4 linked regions of the Drosophila melanogaster genome follow. The protein of the gene in region 3 binds, or shares a complex with, the protein of the main gene of each other region. Each region holds a gene or a part of one and is shown on either strand. Other genes may lie near its edges.

What was found.
Region 1: MED4 (region 3) and MED31 share a complex: the UniProt entries of both Drosophila melanogaster proteins name them as parts of the mediator complex.
Region 2: MED4 (region 3) and MED18 share a complex: the UniProt entries of both Drosophila melanogaster proteins name them as parts of the mediator complex.
Region 4: MED4 (region 3) and MED19 share a complex: the UniProt entries of both Drosophila melanogaster proteins name them as parts of the mediator complex.

The regions. Positions count from the first base shown.
Region 1 is NT_033777.3:4,640,328-4,644,356, reverse strand, and holds MED31 (mediator complex subunit 31), read right to left. Parts: upstream 2,395-4,029; 5' UTR 2,362-2,394; coding exon of another isoform or gene 2,349-2,361; exon of another isoform or gene 2,074-2,348; 5' UTR 1,957-2,073; coding exon 1,929-1,956; intron 1,789-1,928; coding exon 1,699-1,788; intron 1,607-1,698; coding exon 1,110-1,606; 3' UTR 1,065-1,109; downstream 1-1,064. Other genes in the region: nuclease slx1, read right to left, coding at 1-813, 2,349-2,361. UniProt on the Drosophila melanogaster protein: Component of the Mediator complex, a coactivator involved in the regulated transcription of nearly all RNA polymerase II-dependent genes.
Region 2 is NC_004354.4:1,864,021-1,867,639, reverse strand, and holds MED18 (mediator complex subunit 18), read right to left. Parts: upstream 1,732-3,619; 5' UTR 1,627-1,731; coding exon 1,502-1,626; intron 1,455-1,501; coding exon of another isoform or gene 1,432-1,454; coding exon 1,145-1,431; intron 1,078-1,144; coding exon 836-1,077; 3' UTR 753-835; downstream 1-752. Other genes in the region: Pex5 (peroxin 5), read left to right, coding at 1-632; Gcna (germ cell nuclear acidic peptidase), read left to right, coding at 1,904-3,470, 3,533-3,619. UniProt on the Drosophila melanogaster protein: Component of the Mediator complex, a coactivator involved in the regulated transcription of nearly all RNA polymerase II-dependent genes.
Region 3 is NT_037436.4:7,248,649-7,252,670, forward strand, and holds MED4 (mediator complex subunit 4), read right to left. Parts: upstream 1,880-4,022; 5' UTR 1,797-1,879; coding exon 1,560-1,796; intron 1,502-1,559; coding exon 962-1,501; 3' UTR 881-961; downstream 1-880. Other genes in the region: Cdc27 (cell division cycle 27), read right to left, coding at 10-33; CG14830 (uncharacterized protein), read right to left, coding at 2,451-2,970, 3,032-3,460, 3,528-3,550. UniProt on the Drosophila melanogaster protein: Component of the Mediator complex, a coactivator involved in the regulated transcription of nearly all RNA polymerase II-dependent genes.
Region 4 is NT_037436.4:17,842,975-17,848,570, forward strand, and holds MED19 (mediator complex subunit 19), read right to left. Parts: upstream 3,528-5,596; 5' UTR 3,218-3,527; coding exon 2,780-3,217; intron 1,921-2,779; coding exon 1,806-1,920; intron 1,741-1,805; coding exon 1,280-1,740; 3' UTR 751-1,279; downstream 1-750. Other genes in the region: CG5567 (uncharacterized protein), read right to left, coding at 301-442; CG7430 (uncharacterized protein), read left to right, coding at 4,223-4,264, 4,573-5,100, 5,164-5,596. UniProt on the Drosophila melanogaster protein: Component of the Mediator complex, a coactivator involved in the regulated transcription of nearly all RNA polymerase II-dependent genes.

The sequences.
Region 1 (4,029 bases), on a different chromosome or scaffold from region 3:
CATGATCCTGCAGTTCTTCAGGCACGCCCAAAAGAAGACGTTTGCGCTGCAGCAGTGCTGCCCAGCTGAGACGAGTCTCACAAAGCGGACACTCTCCTCCAACTGGGATGTAATGACCTGGCTCGTCGCCCAGAAGGTAATTGGCCAGGCACACCATATGGCATGTCAGCCGACACATTTGATTTGTGCATCCCAGGCGGGATTTCTCCGGTTGCTCCATTTCCTGCATACAAAGGTGGCACTCGGAAGCCCACGCCACAGGTGGAGGAGGTACTGCATCATCAGGTCTCCTACGTTGTGAGGCACTAATGGAAACCTTGCCACTCACAATTTCCATGTGTTTAGGCAGTGCCTTGCTGAATGGCCTCTCGTAATCCGTTTCTAGCCAGCGAACGGTGAGCGGTAATCTATTCCAAGGGCCAACCCCCAGCATATTACTAAGGATCCTAAAGTTGTAGTCAAAGAACGTCTCCCTGGGCAGTTTTCGTTTTAATTCAGGGTACATTTTAAGCCTAGTTGAAAGCGACGGCTGTTGCCAAGCCCATTCAAACTGGAGTGCCACTGTATTATTCGGGAATCCGTGCACGATCATTACCATCAGCCACGGCCCTTTGCGACTGGTTTTCCTCGCGCCACCGAAATCACAACCAAGATTGTGTTGGCGTATCCGCCGTTTGGGGTTCACGGTGAAGCCCACGTAGCATTTTCCCCGGTAGCGAGGATCCAAGCTCTGACTGCATAGCAAATAGACGCCGTAGAAGTGGCCCTTCAGCGCGACGGATTCCTCCTGTTGAGAAGCTGTGTCCTGTGGGTCTGTGAATTCACCAACAGATAGATTAATGAAACTTGCTTTGTGTCTGCAACCAAAAACCAACGACAAAGGAGGCGACACCCTAACTAAAGCAATGAGATGAGGTTTTCAAGATTTTCTAAAATAAAAAAAGAAATAAAATTATTTTAGAATTTTAGTTTGGCTAAAATAGCTAAGAAAATAAGGTGTGTTAAGTGGTAGCTGTTTCTCAGCCAAAAAGGAAGATAATAAATGGAATGCAAAATAACTTGTTCCAGGTTCTTATACTATTTTATTGGTAAACTTTTAGTTGCCAGCGCTAGTTTAACTCTAGTTTTATGTTGGCCCCCGATGCCACGCCATTGATTTGCTGCTGCTGCTGGGGATTTCCAGGCTGTGCTTGGACAGGCTGTAGGGCAGAAGACGTCTGTTGACTATCCGCCGTGGAAGCTGACCCGTTCACGTTGGGGGTAGGTGCTGCTGATTCGCCTCCCGTTGCTGCCTCCATGCCGTTCGCCTGCTGTTGTTGCTGCTGAAGCTGCTGTTGTTGCTGCTGGGCGGCCGTAACGTTTTCGATCAGTTTGATGCGCTTGCGAGTGTAGTGCTGCCACTGCAGAATGGCCTGGTCGTCTATGAACTTGCAGCACTGCGAGTTGACGATCTCCCGGCGGAAGTGTTCGTACTGCAGCAGATCGAGGAAGTAGAGGCACATTGGGTACATGAGGTATTTCGCATAGTCCGGCTCCTTCCAGTACTGCAGATACTTCAGGTAGTTGATGAACGACTGGTCCTTGAAAAATCCACGCTGTGCAAGGACTGGCACAAGGCGTTGTAATTGTTTATTTAGATATACGCGCAAGATGGTGAATAAGTGAATATTAGGTAGGTCGAGGTAATATTATTCTTACAGTTTAGATAGTTGGGGTTCGACAGGCACTGCACGAACTCCAGCTCGATCTGCCAGCGTCGCTTCTGCAGCTCCTCCGACTCGATAGCAGCTACGGAAGAAATTGGAGAGCATTAGTCCCTGAGAAATTAGCACCACTTTTGGTAGATCTCTGAGGATTCGGCATGCCAAGCGGTGTCAGTAGGTGTTAGATTACAATGCGAAAATGGGTGTGGATTGGCGTGTACTTACTCTTACCCTTTCCGTACATTTTGGCCATTTTGGACTGGTCTTTGGCTTTGGAAAGGGTCTCGTTGGGTCGGTACTTGCGTCTATTCAGTTTCGGTGTCGGGTTGGGTTCTTGGTTTCTTTCAGTGTGCTATGTGGATGTTCTGAGCTGTGTGTTTTGGTGCACCATCGAATTGAAAACGAAACGTCGCGGCAAACAAAACACACAAGTAAAATTATAAATATATATGGGCTTCGCTAATGAAATAAAATGTATGGCGCGGCAGTGACTGCACAGAGCAAACGCAGGTTGTGGGCCAAAAGAAAACTCGGGAAAACAGTCGACCAGGTTTCTGGGCGCAGGCGGTGGGTTGTCGCTCCCTTTGTGTTGGTGATTTCTTGTGGGAAGGCAGTTAAATTCAGTTTTTAATATTGTCTACAAACCGTAGGAGTTCATTTGGATTGTTGATGGCCGGCGACAACCCTACTTCTGTCCCCGCCAGGGCTGCAAGCTCATCCGAATACGATTTTTTTTTCGTAAAATACTGCTTTTCCGTATATTTTACTTGGTGTGTGCTAACGGTATTCTTGAAAATGTTTCTGTGTTAAAAATTAGAATTAGGGTTGTTTTAACCAACAAAAATCTTTAATACCAGAGTAAGTTTAAACAAATCTGAGCGTATGTATCAAGAAGTACAGCGATCAATGGTATCTACAAATAATCATAATAAAACAATTAAAATTTATATTAAAATATAAAATTCCGACCAGAACATTGACAATTTTTAATTATAATATGTAATTAACAATTGTGTGTAGCCTTCAGTATTTATTTCACTACCCCTAATGTGATGCGCATTTAATTCGGTATTTTCACAAGCCTACGACGAACGCTGTGGAGAACAATGCCTGATTTTTTTGTCAGCCTGAAAAGCAGCGAGGAAAAACTTGAATTTCGTCTGTAAAACATATCTAATCGGAACCAAGCCACTGAAAAAGTCGTAGTTTAGGCTAAATAAACGAGAAATCAACGAGTGAAACTAATTTCTATCTGTGGACAGAACGCCCCCGCACCTATTTTTGTGCTGAGGAACAAGCGAAGCAGCGACGCACAATTCAGAAATGTAAGTATTAACAAAATTATGTAATTTAAGTGCATATGAAACATTATATATGTATATCCAACTATTTCCCCGATTTCGACGGGTTAATCATCATCCACAAAAAATTCATGTTGGCGAAGAATCTATTATTAGATTACAGTGTGCTCTGCTTGAATACAACTCCGAAATGTATATACATATACAGATGCATACAGATGTACACATATGTACATATGTGCATATGTATCTATACAGCACAGCACAGCTGCCGTCCAAATAGAACCAAAGATTGTTTCTTGATAGGCTTCTGAATCATTTCAATGTAATTACGAATGTAAGTCTCTTTTGTGTCCGCTTAGGCAAGCCACAGTCGCAATTTTAATTGATCGATTGGTTTGCCACACTAATTCGTACATCTAAATTCGAGATAAATAGACCATTACCTAAAACAGTATTATAGAGTGAAAAGTGTACAGTGTGTAACTGGTATAAAAAGTGATTCCGACCCTATAATGTAAATGTTTCTTCGATCCGGACCAATGGCCTGGTCGATCTGACCACGATCTACAACGCCCAAATTGGCATATAACACTGTAGTTCCATACAATTGTCATAATAGTTAAAATAGGATTATTAGAAACGTATCAAATAAATGTCTTCGCTGAGTGCTGGGTATCTCATAGTCGCGACTCTTGACTAAAGTGATCTTTACTCCTAAACATCTTCCTATATACATGTGAAATGAATCAATGTTCTTAAGTGGGAAAATTCATAGGTAATATTAAAATGTTTAGTGTTGTAACTATGACCACGGCTTTATTTACGGGGGTGCATAAGGGGTAAAGCCAACGGTTGGCTTTTCCACATAGGAACAGCTGCAGATTTATTGGTATATTTTAAAGAACTGTCTGAGCTTAGCGTTTATGGGTGTCAGCTGGCACTACCTGTCCGGGGGTCGTCCTGGCGTACCTGACTGCCTACAAAACTCATTACATTTTTGCTTTCCATTACAGTTGCAAACC
Region 2 (3,619 bases), on a different chromosome or scaffold from region 3:
CCAAGTATCAGCACCTGGTCGCAGCCCATCCGGAGCTGCAGGCCGAGGGCACTTCGTTGGCTTCGTCGCTGATTGGTCCGAGTAAGCTGCGCGATCTGCAGCAGATCTACTTGGAAGCCGTTCGACAGCACCCTTCGGAGGTGGATGCCGAAGTCCAGGATGCCCTCGGCGTGCTCTACAATCTATCTGGGGAGTTCGACAAGGCGGTGGACTGCTACCAGTCCGCTCTGCAGGTGGATCCCCAAAATGCGAAGACATGGAACCGATTGGGGGCCAGTTTGGCCAACGGCTCGCGCTCCGTGGAGGCGGTGGAGGCTTATCAGCAGGCGCTGCAGCTCCAACCGGGCTTCATCCGTGTGCGTTACAACGTGGGCGTATGTTGCATGAACCTTAAGGCCTACAAGGAAGCTGTGGAGCACTTACTCACAGCGCTTACCATGCAGGCTCACACTAACGCCGCCCGAGAGCTGCCCAATGCGGCGATGGCGGCTACCTTTAGAGGACAGAACCAGATGTCCGAGTCTATTTGGAGTACGCTGAAGATGGTCATTTCGCTGATGGGCCGCAGCGATCTCCAGAGTTATGTGAGCGATCGCAATCTGGCGGCTCTTAATGAGGCCTTTAAGGATTAACCGCCCCGCAGCTTCTTTATCACTGCTTTGGGAAAGTCCGTTGTTGTCGTGTCATGTGGGTGTGTAAGGTTGAATTTGAGATATTTTTTACTCTGGCAGTGTAATCATTCCCTCTCGGTTCTTTTCTGTAAATTTGTATATTTTCTTACATTTAAGAAATTAAATAACTGTTGGATAAATGCGATGTGCACTTTTATTGTAAACTACGGCATGCCGCCCAGTCGCTTGTAGTCGATCTTCTCGAGCTGCACGAGTGGCTTTAGTTGCTCGGCAAACACGCGCATTTCCTCGCCGACATTCTCCTGCCCCGTTGGCGCCACCACAGAGAGTTCCACTATGTAGCTTTGTGAGATTGGCTCGTTGGCCATGTCCTGCTGCTTGCCGGGCACAATCTTAATGAGCTTGGAGACGGTAATCTTCATGCGCCCCTTGCGGAACATATAGCCTGAAATAAGTCCATTTGTCACTATCCATTTTGGCAACCCAAGCGTAATATATTTCATGATTCCAACCCTTTGCTATGTACTCGAACTCCAGGCGGAAGCCCATTTCCGTGAGGAATTCCAAAATGCCATTGGTGCAGGCGCAGTCCATGCAGCTGCGTACCAATGTAGGCCGGCGCAGATCCACCTCGGGGTTTCCTAGGTAGCGCATCTGAAAGGGTGCATCGCGACCAAGGGCTCGGCGCACGCGAAGAAGCAGCGGCTGGTTGGCATTGGGCTGGCGAAGGCTCATACACACTTCCAGATCGTGAAACGGCTCCGGCGAGGTGTCCACATTGTCGCAGAGTCCCTTTAGTCTGATAGTGGGTAGGCGGTTAGACTGTTAGTCGGGTGCAAACGATTCAAATCTGACACTGGGTCTCCCACCTGTGCATCAAGTGTTCCACGGCGGAATCCAGGATAGATCCCTGCAGCAAGTACTCCAGGTTGGGCAAGAAGCGGTTGTTCATCGCATGGGAGAGCGACTCACGGGCCGACGACACAATCGCCATTGGCTAATTTTGTAAGTTTGGGTGTACTATGGTATTAAATTAACTGAGCAGTAGTTTGGTTTTGTTTTTAGTTTCATTTCCTTGGAAGAATTCGTTTTACTAGTGATGCCGTTTTAGACATTTTCGAACAGCACTAGCTAGATGCCGGAAAATCAAATAGTCTATCGATAACGATGAACGTAAATCGACGCGCACAGAATAATAGCAAATACGAATTTTGCTTAAAGCATATTCATAGAGATTGATTTACCGTAAATGCCCCAACGACGCCCCCAAAATGGCGGATCATAAGTATAGGCTCTTCAATGCGGTCGACCCGAGCAAAGTAAAAGTTCCCTTCAATCAAAAGTTCGCCAATTTGACGCTATCCTCCCACAAAAAACGACTCCAGGTGTCCCATGCGCCGAAGGATCATCCAGAAAAGAGGAACGACCAGAAAACAAGGAAACTGCCAGCAGCTCCCATGCGCGCCAATGTGGGAGCACCCGCTCCGTCCTGCGGGGCAAATACGGAGGACACAGAACTCGACAATTCCGACTACATGGAAGCCTTGCAGCTGAGCGCCGACGGCTGCAGCCAGGATGTGGCAAATGTGGGCGATGTAGAGCTCCTGTCCGCTGGCATCAGCAATTTGAAAGTGCAGCCCATAAATGAGGAGCACTCGGCCAAGCCGGAGATCTCCATTTGCATTTCCTCCACTACGGAAGAGAACGTATCCGGCGACGACGACGCCGCCTCCTGTATCACCATATCCGATTCTAGCGAGGATGAGCAAGAACCCTTGCCTCCCGATAGCATGGCTGTGAGTGAACGGGAAATTGTGGCTAATCCCGGCCAGGAAGACATACCACAGCCCATGCTCACAACCGAAAAAGTGCAGCGCATCGAGGCTTTTCTGCGCGATGTGTCCATAGAGCGACGCGAGATGGAGTGGAATGGCCCATTGACACCGCCCCCCCTCTCTTCCAGCCAGCGGCAATCCCGTCTAGCCGATGCGGACACCGAATCCATGTCGCCCACCGACGAGGACTGGCAGCCACCCACTACCAGGCCGATTTACAACAGCACACAACTGGCGAACAACGATACGCAGGTGAATACCATCTGCTCAGCAGATGCCACTCGATTGGATAGCAGCAAGCGGTTGGCAGACGACGAAACGGAGGCGAATACTCTCGGATCGGAGGAGCTTGAGCCCACATACAGCAGCAAGCGTTTAGCAGACAATGACACCGAGCCCAACACCCTGTGTTCTGATAGTTCTGAGACCCATAACTCGACGATTCACAACAATGAGCCCGTTCCTGATGAATCCATTGAAATACCGGAAACCAGCAGCGAGGGCGAGCTCACGCCGCAAAAGGCCAGCTCTGGTTCCTCCACATCGGGAGGGGACGAACACGGTTCTATCCAGGTCAGCAGTATTAATATTTCAGCGAAGATCAACATTAAAATCAGCATTCCCACTATGGAGTCAAGTTCGGCGGAAGACGACGATGAGCATTACTCTTCGCCCAGGGCCACTAAGTCCCTGCCCAGCTCGGAGGAGGTGCAGCACCAAGAGCACCAGCAGCAGGACCCTCAGAGCCACCAAAAATCCATGCTGTCTGTGGATGATGCATCCGAGGATGAGCAGTTTCTCACCCACGCAGAAAAGCTGCTCAATCAATTGTACGGCAAGTCTTGGCAGACACCAGATGTGATCCGCACTCTAAAGCGCTCCAGTGGTAGTGGCGGTAAACAGGCTCCTCTGAGGCCCAGGAATATTCAAGCAACAGCGGTAACCACCGCTAAAAAAAAGAAGCCCAAGCCAGATGAAAGTGTTCTCGGGGACTTCAGCATATGTAAGAATTTATCCATGCTTTTTATCCTCCAACCGTTGAGTCACACGCGCTTTAATCCCCAGTTACTAAACCTCTGCGCACAAATCAGACTCCTTTAAACTCGACTCGTCTGCCTCCGATGCGCGCTGTCCAAACGGAGAGACGTCCGC
Region 3 (4,022 bases):
TTGATTTACCTGCACGGGCTCTTGAATCATCATGTCTGGGCGGTATGTGCGACTTTCTAGGGGCGCTCTATGAGATGTACGTTCACTGTACTTCAGGGCTTTACAATAATTCAAACATGCAGTGTGTAGAACTCAAACAAACTATCATGTCGCCCCCCACTCGTACACTCTTCTGTTTGTATTTGTATTCGAATTGTTTTCTTTTGGCCAAATTTTTTCCAACAATATCGAATGGGAAAAAGTAAAAGTTTGGCCTGTGTGCTGGCTGGCTGTGTGGTATGTGAGTGTCGTATGTAACCCGATTGCGGATGCGGCGATGCAAGTGGCGATGGCGGTGTCTCTCGCTCCCTGGCCTCCACTCCACTCCACCTTCCACTTCCACTTTTTCTTTATATTTGATATTGCAATTGGTTTGAGTCGAGCCTTCGCTTCGCTTCGCCCTCTGTACACACACACTGCGAACGGGGGGTCGGTTTTCTACTATCGTTTTCGGGGCTTATCTCTCGTTAAAGACGCACACGGGGCTGATCTGCGATTGGCGGCGACACTGGACTACACCTTGGCCACATTTTAGCTACTTGAAACACGCTGCATACGCGTTGCATTCCATTTTATTTGAAAAACCAAAGCTAAAATAATTGCGAGCTGTCAAAGTATCGATTGCACGCGACCCTGCCAATCGATTGTTTATATGGTTGAGGAGGACCGTATCGCACTAGCGCAAAAGTACCAAGCTCTTGACACGAAGCTATTATAAGCTGTTTCCACTGATACATAACTTTGCATTTTTTTAAATGCCAATTTAAATTGTAAATTAATATCATTAAAGAAGGTCATAAAATTAGATATGTATCCCAGCTACTCAAATATATACATAACTAGACTTCCTTACAGCGCGCTTTTATTAAATACCTAATACTACTAGCTTAAACGAGATTTAGTTATAGTTTTTTATCCAATTCTACTGCGAATCGCTGGAACTGGAGCTTGAGCTATCCGTGGACATGACCTCCACATCGTCCTGGGCGCGCGTCTCCAGGGCCACTGTGTTCCCAGAGGCGCCCATGGTCATGTGCAGCTCTCCGAGATTCCAGTTAAACTGGTTCTGGAAGGCATTGGGCACCTCGCCGCCGGCGCCACTGCCACTCCCACTTCCTGCGCTACCGGACAGCGTTCGCTGCTGCTCCGAGGGCATGCCGCTGTTCTGGTGGGTCACTGTTCCGCCGTTGATGTTCTGCTCGGATTTACCCAGCAGCCCGTTGCGCATCTCAATGTCCGTGGGATAGGGACGCCGCAGGTCACCTATGCACCAGGTGAGCGGAGCACTGACCGCATTGGCGGAGCTAATCCGATGTGCGTATTTGATGAGCTCCTCGGATGAAACCGGTCGTTTGTTGGCCTGATTGATGCTGGCCAGTTTCTGTCGCGCTTGGAAGATGGCCGTGGACAGTATGAGCTCCGCATCCTTTAGCGACTTTTGCAGCTTCTGGATCTCACGGTCCTAAGCGGGAAAATCCAGATTATACCTTATTTTTGGGGAATGCAAAACTTCTACTTACGTGCACCTCGACCTTAGCGCGCAGTTGGTCCATCGCCTCCTCCACTTTCGCCTGCTCCTCCGCCAGTTCCAGCATTTTGCGAAATTCCTCATCTTTGGCCACCAGCAAATCCAACAGGTCCACCAATTCGGTGCTGGAGATCTTCTGGTGCGCCTGCTCGATCAACTCCTTGGCAATCATCTCAATGTCGTCGATCAGGAGCAGAAGGCGCTCTTTTGTGCTCAAATGAAACGACATTATCACGGCAAATCGTTTGTGCTAAGCAATAATTGCAATTTGTTTATTTTCCACACCGCAATGTGGCCGTTCTTCGATTGCTGAAATATACCGTATAGTATTCCGGAGCGCTGTTAATACCACGTTGTAAAAATACCGTAACAGAGAGGTTGCCAGACTAATAGGAGTTGCCACATGGGTTATTTCATACACTCAAAAAAAAGGGAATCAAGTACTCAAAAGCAAAGAGTAGAAGAGACTGTTCAAAAATAAAACAAATTCGCAGCGTTATCTCTAGTAGGTATTATTTGCTTGTTTATTTCTCGTGTGTTACAATTGCAGTTACAATTTTAGCATAAAACTCTTCTGTTGATTAGCCAAATCAAACCTAACAAACCTTCTCAAATATGGCAGATTACAATACTCTGTTGCATCCTCGCGTTCGCGTCTCCCGTCAGTTTCACTCTTAAAACATACAAACCAGCAAGCAACTTGCAGCAGGTACGTTGGAGGGGCCTTGTTAATAACCGTTTAGAACTAGTAGATAGTCTTACAATTAGTTAAGATATAAGTGGTTTATATGTGGCTATTCATATTTCTTCTCCGCCCAAAGGATCCCCTTTCATCAAACCGCATATGTATGTACATACATACATATGTACATATGCATAACAATCAGTATCGCTGGCTCTCGCGATCCGAGTATTTGCCACTCAGCTTGCTAACCGAATAGCGATCCGAGTAGGCATCGTACTTGTCCGCCTTGTAGTTGATCTCCTGCGGCGTGTATCCGATATTCTTCTGCCAGTGCCGCGTCCAGTAGAGATCCTCGTTGCGCACCTGCGATGGCGTCTTCGCATCCCGGAACACGTACACACAGTAGATCATGCAGCCGATTAGCGTGAGGAAGCCGAAGACCAGGAACACAATTCCCAGTATCCACACGTACAGTGGCTCATAGAACTGCACCACAATGACGAATCCTAGCGTCACCAGGATCAGGCCCAAGTTGAGCAACAGCATCAGACAGCACACGCCCTTGACATTGGGGCAAAATGGATTCGGCGCGGACATGGTTTCCACTTTGGCGCCTCGCCGAGTCGTCGAGCGCGCACTGCGTCCGGTTTTGGCCGTACTGGCCACGGAGTAAACACTCCGTGGAGCTCCTCGCGACACTGGACGCTGACTGTAGCGACTGTAATGGATGATAGATAGTTTAGATATGGGTTATATGCTATATAGTTGTAACAACGCACCTGATCTCGGAGGGCGCCTTGTAGGCGGCACTGGTCACATAGATGTCGCTGCCGGCGTCACCAGCCTGGTCATAGCTCAGGGCGGACGGAGCACGCGGTGGCTGGCGCGTGGGCGGCGGTCCGCTGAGGGAGCGAGGTCCTCCGTTGTCCGGCGAACTGGAGAGGCCCATCTGACTGTGGCTGTAGCTGCTCTGCAGGTGCTGATGCTGATGGTTTCCATTCGAGGATGAGGAGCGCTTCTTGCGCGAACCATTGTACTGCGGCGAGATGCGCTCGTGGGTCAACGTGTACTCCGAATAGGTGCGCTCCGAGGGCGCCCGGTGGGAGTGGGTCTCATCGCCGTCGGTGGAATAGCCGCGGTTCGAGTGGACGTAGGGCGGATCCGGAGTGAGGCGACCGTGCGTGGCCACATAATGGCTGCCCTTCAACCTGTAATTGGATCGCAAATGTTATCGCCGCTGTATTAGCCGTTAAGTGGCCCATCCGCGCTACTCACTTCTTCACTTGTCTCTCGTGCATCCTGTATCTTTTGCTCCGCCTGTATCTGTATCTTTTGCTGGCTCTTCTCTGCGGCTGATTGACTGCTAATGGACCCGTCTAGCAATTCCTCGAGGTGCCTGCAATGGGTAAGTAAAGCAAAACAAACACACGATGAGCTCGACTTCATGGCAATTAGGTTTTGGCTTCACTTTATCGACTAGCTTAGAACTTTTAATTAGAGCGATGAAAGTTTTATTCGACTGCAGACAGCAGCCATATTCAATAAAATAACTGGTTTGTTTGAATTTCACAAGCGTAACGTAAAGTTTCATGGCTCTGGGTTCTCTGCTCGTTGTAAAAGTTTAATAGTTAATATTTATTAAAATTACACATAAACTCGAGAGCAACATCTGGATCATTAAAAATTTTAAGCAACTCCAGAGAAAATGTTTTTTAATTGAAAATAATGCGATACCCTGCTAATATTAAACACGCGACAAAGGATCATAAA
Region 4 (5,596 bases), about 11 Mb from region 3:
TTAGGGCTCATCACTATGAGCATTAGGGAATTTATCAAACGGCTCTTTACTGCTTTACTCTTTACTAAATATAACGATGATTAACAAGATATGAGGGCATCCGAAAGTCGACTTCCCGCCATATCACGCACTTCACTCTTTGACATTGAAATAAACGACGCAGCCACAATACAGAAACTATTGGCTGCTGACGTATTTGGGCAGAATGTGGTATACACATATCTTTATGTAACGCAACTTCCTGGGGGGAATCCTGGGTGGGTGCGAGTTAGTAGTATCTCATCCCCACCACCGACTTACCATCGCAGTCGGTTATTACACTGTCGAAGCCTGCTAGCCACTCGGTCACCTTGGCGGAGGATAATTCCAGGAGATTGGTGCACGACTGCTTGTACATGTTGATAGCTGCCTGTCGCGAAAATCTGGCGAAGTTACAACTCATCTATGGCTTTGCAGCGACGACTATCTTATACACATCACTTTTAATTTATTAATTGACTCTCGATTGCGAGAAACTCCCTGAGAATTAAAGCAGCTGTTGGCGCCTGTTAAGGCTATGTTACTATCTGTCAGATTTCAGCGTAGCTGTTAATGCGCCATGTTAAAGTCAACAGAGTGCTAACAAGTGTTTGGCGCCAAATTTGAATTTAAGGGCTCCTTGGAAGCAGAACTTCTGTGCAACAAATGCTTATATTCGAAAAATGAACTAAGCTCCCCAAACTATTGTAAACACACACTTTGATCATTTTTATGCTTGTTTATTGTTTTATGTGCCTAATCACTAAAATTAATTACTTATAGTACAGGCATTTTTATTTTGTTGAATCTCAGCTTTCTTTTGTGTTTATAAACTTGCTGGAAGAACAAACCATTGCAGAAATTTAATTGAAATACTGACCCTACACACGTTACAAGGTTGGTAAGCAAATTAAAGAGGTTGCAAAGCAGCGTTTTTGTGGCGGCGTGGCGAGGGGTGTGTTTGTGTGGAGGGAAGAGCTGGAATCGAGAGCGAAAACGTTCTTGCGTTTTGTACCATAACTTGCGTTTAAATAAATCTCATTAAGCTAGCGCGAAAACGAACGAAAAATTGTTGGCTAATTACAGAAATAAACTATTTTACATTTACAATAATCATAAATTAATAACTAGGACACGAAACGATATCGAGAAAATTGCATGTAGAGGACCGAGGCCCTCTGCGTTTTTTTTATGTTGCCATTTGGGGTGCGTCTGCTGATGAGAGGTAATGAGCCAAGTCTATTTTGCTAAAGGATCCTGCCTAAAACTGCGACATAAGCAGACTCCCACCGACGCCGCCCCCGCCACCACCTCCTCCTCCGCCGCCGCCACCTGGACCGCCACTAGTGCCCAGCACAGATCCCAGCAGACCGCCACTTGACATCTGCTGTTGCTGCATGGGCATCTGCTGTTGCTGCTGCATCTGCATCGATGAGGAGAAGCTATTCATGTTCCCCACAACGCCAGGTCCCATACTGGCACTAAGGCTGGACAGCCCGGGTCCTCCAGGTCCTCCTCCCAGCGATCCCAGACTAGTGGCTCCCATTACACCCGCTGCTCCGCCCAAGCTCGCTCCTCCGGGCAGCAAGCCCACGCCCGGTTCGGGGCTCTGGTTTTTCTTTTTACGCTTTTTCTCCTTTTTGCGCTTCTTGCGCTCCTTGTCGTCCTCATGGCGTTTCTGCTTCTTGTGCTTTTTCTCGTAAGTCTCCAGGCCGGCCGAGTCTGCAAGATGGTTATCATTGGATTATGTGTGATCGAGTTGCTCGATAATTCAGCAGATTGCTTACCGAGCAGCGTGGATTCCTGTCCCGTGGTCACCCCGTCTTTGTGTTTTTGCTTTTTGTGTTTGTTTTTGTGTTTACGCGCAGGTGTGACATATGTGGTACGATACTGTTCCGGCAGCTGAAAGGAGCACCAGAATCGGATAAATTAGCAATGTGAAAGTGCAGAGGAAAAAAATAATATATTTTATGCAATTTGTTCTAGTAACGATTTATCCATTGTTTGAAATATATGACATGTAAAAAATATTTCACGAAACCTTTTAAGATGAATTATTATTATTATTAGATTGCATATAGGGTGAAAGAAAACTCTCAATAATATTAAATGCCAATATTTCAATAACAAGAAAGGAAGGACAATCCGTCAACAAGGAAGGTTAGTTTTTTTTTTTTTTTTGAATATCATAATATTAAACCATATGGCAGCAATATGAATTAGTGGCCTAAACTGGCGCGTTCTGATTTATGCACTACTTGCAACAAAAATTTAAAACTGAAAGAAAACGGGCAGGCGGACATGGCCTTATCGACTCAGCTGTTCATATAGATCACTGCGTTGCGAACTACTGACTTAATATACACTGTTCAAAAGAGGTTTAAAGGGAAAACCAACATTTACACTCTTGTTAATTTAAGTAATTTTTGTGATTAATGACTAAAATATTTGTGTTTCAAATTTGTTGTTGAACATAAGGAAAATGAATTACAACTCTAAAATACTACGGTGATTATAGAAATAAGTGACAGAAAAGGTGCGACCAAATAACACTTTATAGTAGATCAGTCTGTGCAAGGACACTTAAATCCAAATTTCATATGCAAATTTTAAAAAGCGAAATTAATGCATGCAAATGTATAGAGACGCAAAGCATTGAATAGCGTCTAAATGTATTCTAAGATGTTCAATGTGCCGTATCTAAAGATTCGTCATTTTTCAAACTGAGCAAGCGAATTAAAAGCATATTGGAAAAACCAACCGGTCCGGGATGCAAGCGGAATCCGGCCAGCTGCACGGGAGTCAGCGGAAGAAGCTCCTTTCCACCAATGGGCGGCTTTTCGATCACGCTCCGCAGCGTGCTATTCTCCACGGGATGCGTGATGAGGTCGTTAATGCCGGGGATGTTCTGCAGAAACGAGGCCAGCGACTCCTTGAACTTCTTCTCCTTGAACTTGGTGAGTGTGTGGTGCAGTCCGTACTCGGTCATGAGATCCTTGTCGCCGGTAAGTTCTGCCTTGGCGGGTGGTTCCTTCATGGAGTAAAATGGCCCCGTGTGAATGATCGTTGGCGTCTTGCCCAGCGAAATGGTCGTTTTCAGGGTGCCGGATGAGTCTTGACGGGCCACCACGGGTGATCGGCCGCCGCCGTGGGGCGATGACTTCGGTGAGTCCATCATGTTGCCGTAGTTGCTCATCATCTTGGAAACTCAGCGATTCTCTTCACTCTTGGCAACCCACGCACACAATCGCACCGCACCGCACACGCTCACGCACACAGGGGCACAGCAACAAGGCAAGGCCAGCAGAAGGTGTCGCCTGTCGCGGCTCTCGGGCAACGCTGGCCAAGCTCACACTCTGCAAAATGCGCCGCGTCTGCCCGGCACTTCGGCTGACTCTTTTCTGGTCGAAAACTGAACTAATTATTTGCTCTTGTGGCGTTTTCTAACAGATTTCGGGGGCAAGTCTCGCCATCTTGTTGTGTCCGCGAACCAGTGTGACCGCATTGCGACAGCTAGCGAAATACTGAGGCTTCAACGAAAACGCGAGATGAACGCGACGTGAAAATACCAAAAGTGTTGTGGGAAATATCCCAGATGGGGAATACCACACAGGGTTGTACTGTAGGGCAAACTATCGAATATTCATCGTATAATACATTTTTAATTACCTATAGATATAATAAAGTTAATATTACTTTGGAACTCTTATTATATATGTATCGTATGTACGTTGAGTTATATATTTTTAAAACAGTTATTTTACAGTTTATTTATTACAGTTTATTTTATACGTACAAAAACATTAATTAATGGGTGCCAAAACTATAAAAGCCGGCTTACACGTATAGTTGGCTTGTTTTTAGGTAGCTTTTGCTACAACAAATGACCCATAAAGTGAATATTGTATAAACTAGCAATTGAGTGACGGACATATCGTATTTTGAACGATCATCAAGCTAATATTTTTATACACATCTTTTTCATACGAAAATGTTTTAGAATTTCAAATTCCAACAGAGTGGAAAATCACCAAAACAATCGATAGCATCGCGGCCATCATATGACCACTATCGAATGCACATCGCCAGCCCTGCGACCGCTCCGAGCCCCACAACACGAAAAACAGTCGGAAAAACACACATCAAACTAGTGTTGTGTTTGTAGTTAAATAACGATTATCCTCATAACTCGCCCGCACCAGCCATGCAATTCACGCTCCGTCATGTTGTTTCGGCAGTAGCCAAGGTAAGGATCGGGCGACATAACCGATTCCCCAAACGCCATCGCCCCTCAAGTTATGCAATCTAACCTCACCGAGGGGGTCGAGAAATGGGCAGGAAAAGGCTGGAAAATGCACTTGGATCACCTGCAGTGCTCATATGATCCCGGTGGGTGATTCACTGGCGTTTGGGGATTTGTTTGGCCCCGTTTTCAAGGTCGCTAATTAGGCCAATTATCAGCTGATAGTCGGCCGAAGATTAGTGCGAAATGCGTGCGACTGGCGTGATAAATGATAAGGTGCCACAACATGTAGTAATCTGCCGTCTTTACAGACTCCTCTGCGCACCAATGCCGCCATTCTGGGTGCCCTCAACGCCCGCTGCTACTCCAGCACCCACGAGGCGGACATCGTGGTGATTGGCTCCGGACCCGGTGGCTATGTCGCCGCCATCAAGGCCGCCCAGATGGGCATGAAGACGGTCAGCGTGGAGAAGGAGGCAACTCTGGGCGGCACCTGCCTGAATGTTGGCTGCATTCCCTCAAAGGCGCTGCTGAACAACTCCCACTACTACCACATGGCCCACTCCGGTGATCTGGAGAAACGTGGTATTAGCTGCGGCAGCGTTAGCCTGGATCTGGAGAAGCTTATGGGTCAAAAGTCCAACGCCGTGAAGGCTTTGACCGGTGGCATTGCCATGCTTTTCAAGAAGAACAAGGTCACACAGCTGACGGGCTTCGGCACCATCGTCAATCCCAACGAGGTGGAGGTTAAGAAATCCGACGGCTCCACGGAGACTGTCAAGACCAAGAACATCCTCATCGCCACCGGCTCGGAGGTTACCCCCTTCCCTGGCATTGAAGTAAGTGCAAAACCTCTACAGCGCGCTTGATTACTAATGCATGCCATTCAAAAACCTTCACAGATCGACGAGGAAGTTATTGTGAGCAGCACTGGCGCCCTGAAGCTGGCCAAGGTGCCCAAGCATCTGGTTGTCATCGGCGCCGGTGTCATTGGCCTGGAGCTGGGTTCGGTATGGTCGCGTCTGGGCGCTGAGGTCACTGCCATTGAGTTCATGGATACGATCGGCGGCGTGGGCATCGATAACGAAGTCTCCAAGACGTTCCAAAAGGTGCTCACCAAGCAGGGTCTTAAGTTCAAGCTGGGCACCAAGGTGACGGCTGCCTCTCGCAGCGGCGACAACGTCACCGTGTCCGTGGAGAACGCCAAGTCTGGCGAGAAAGAGGAGATCCAGTGCGACGCCCTGCTGGTCAGTGTTGGACGTCGTCCCTACACCGAAGGTTTGGGTCTGGAGGCCGTGGGCATTGTTAAGGATGACCGCGGCAGGATCCCCGTCA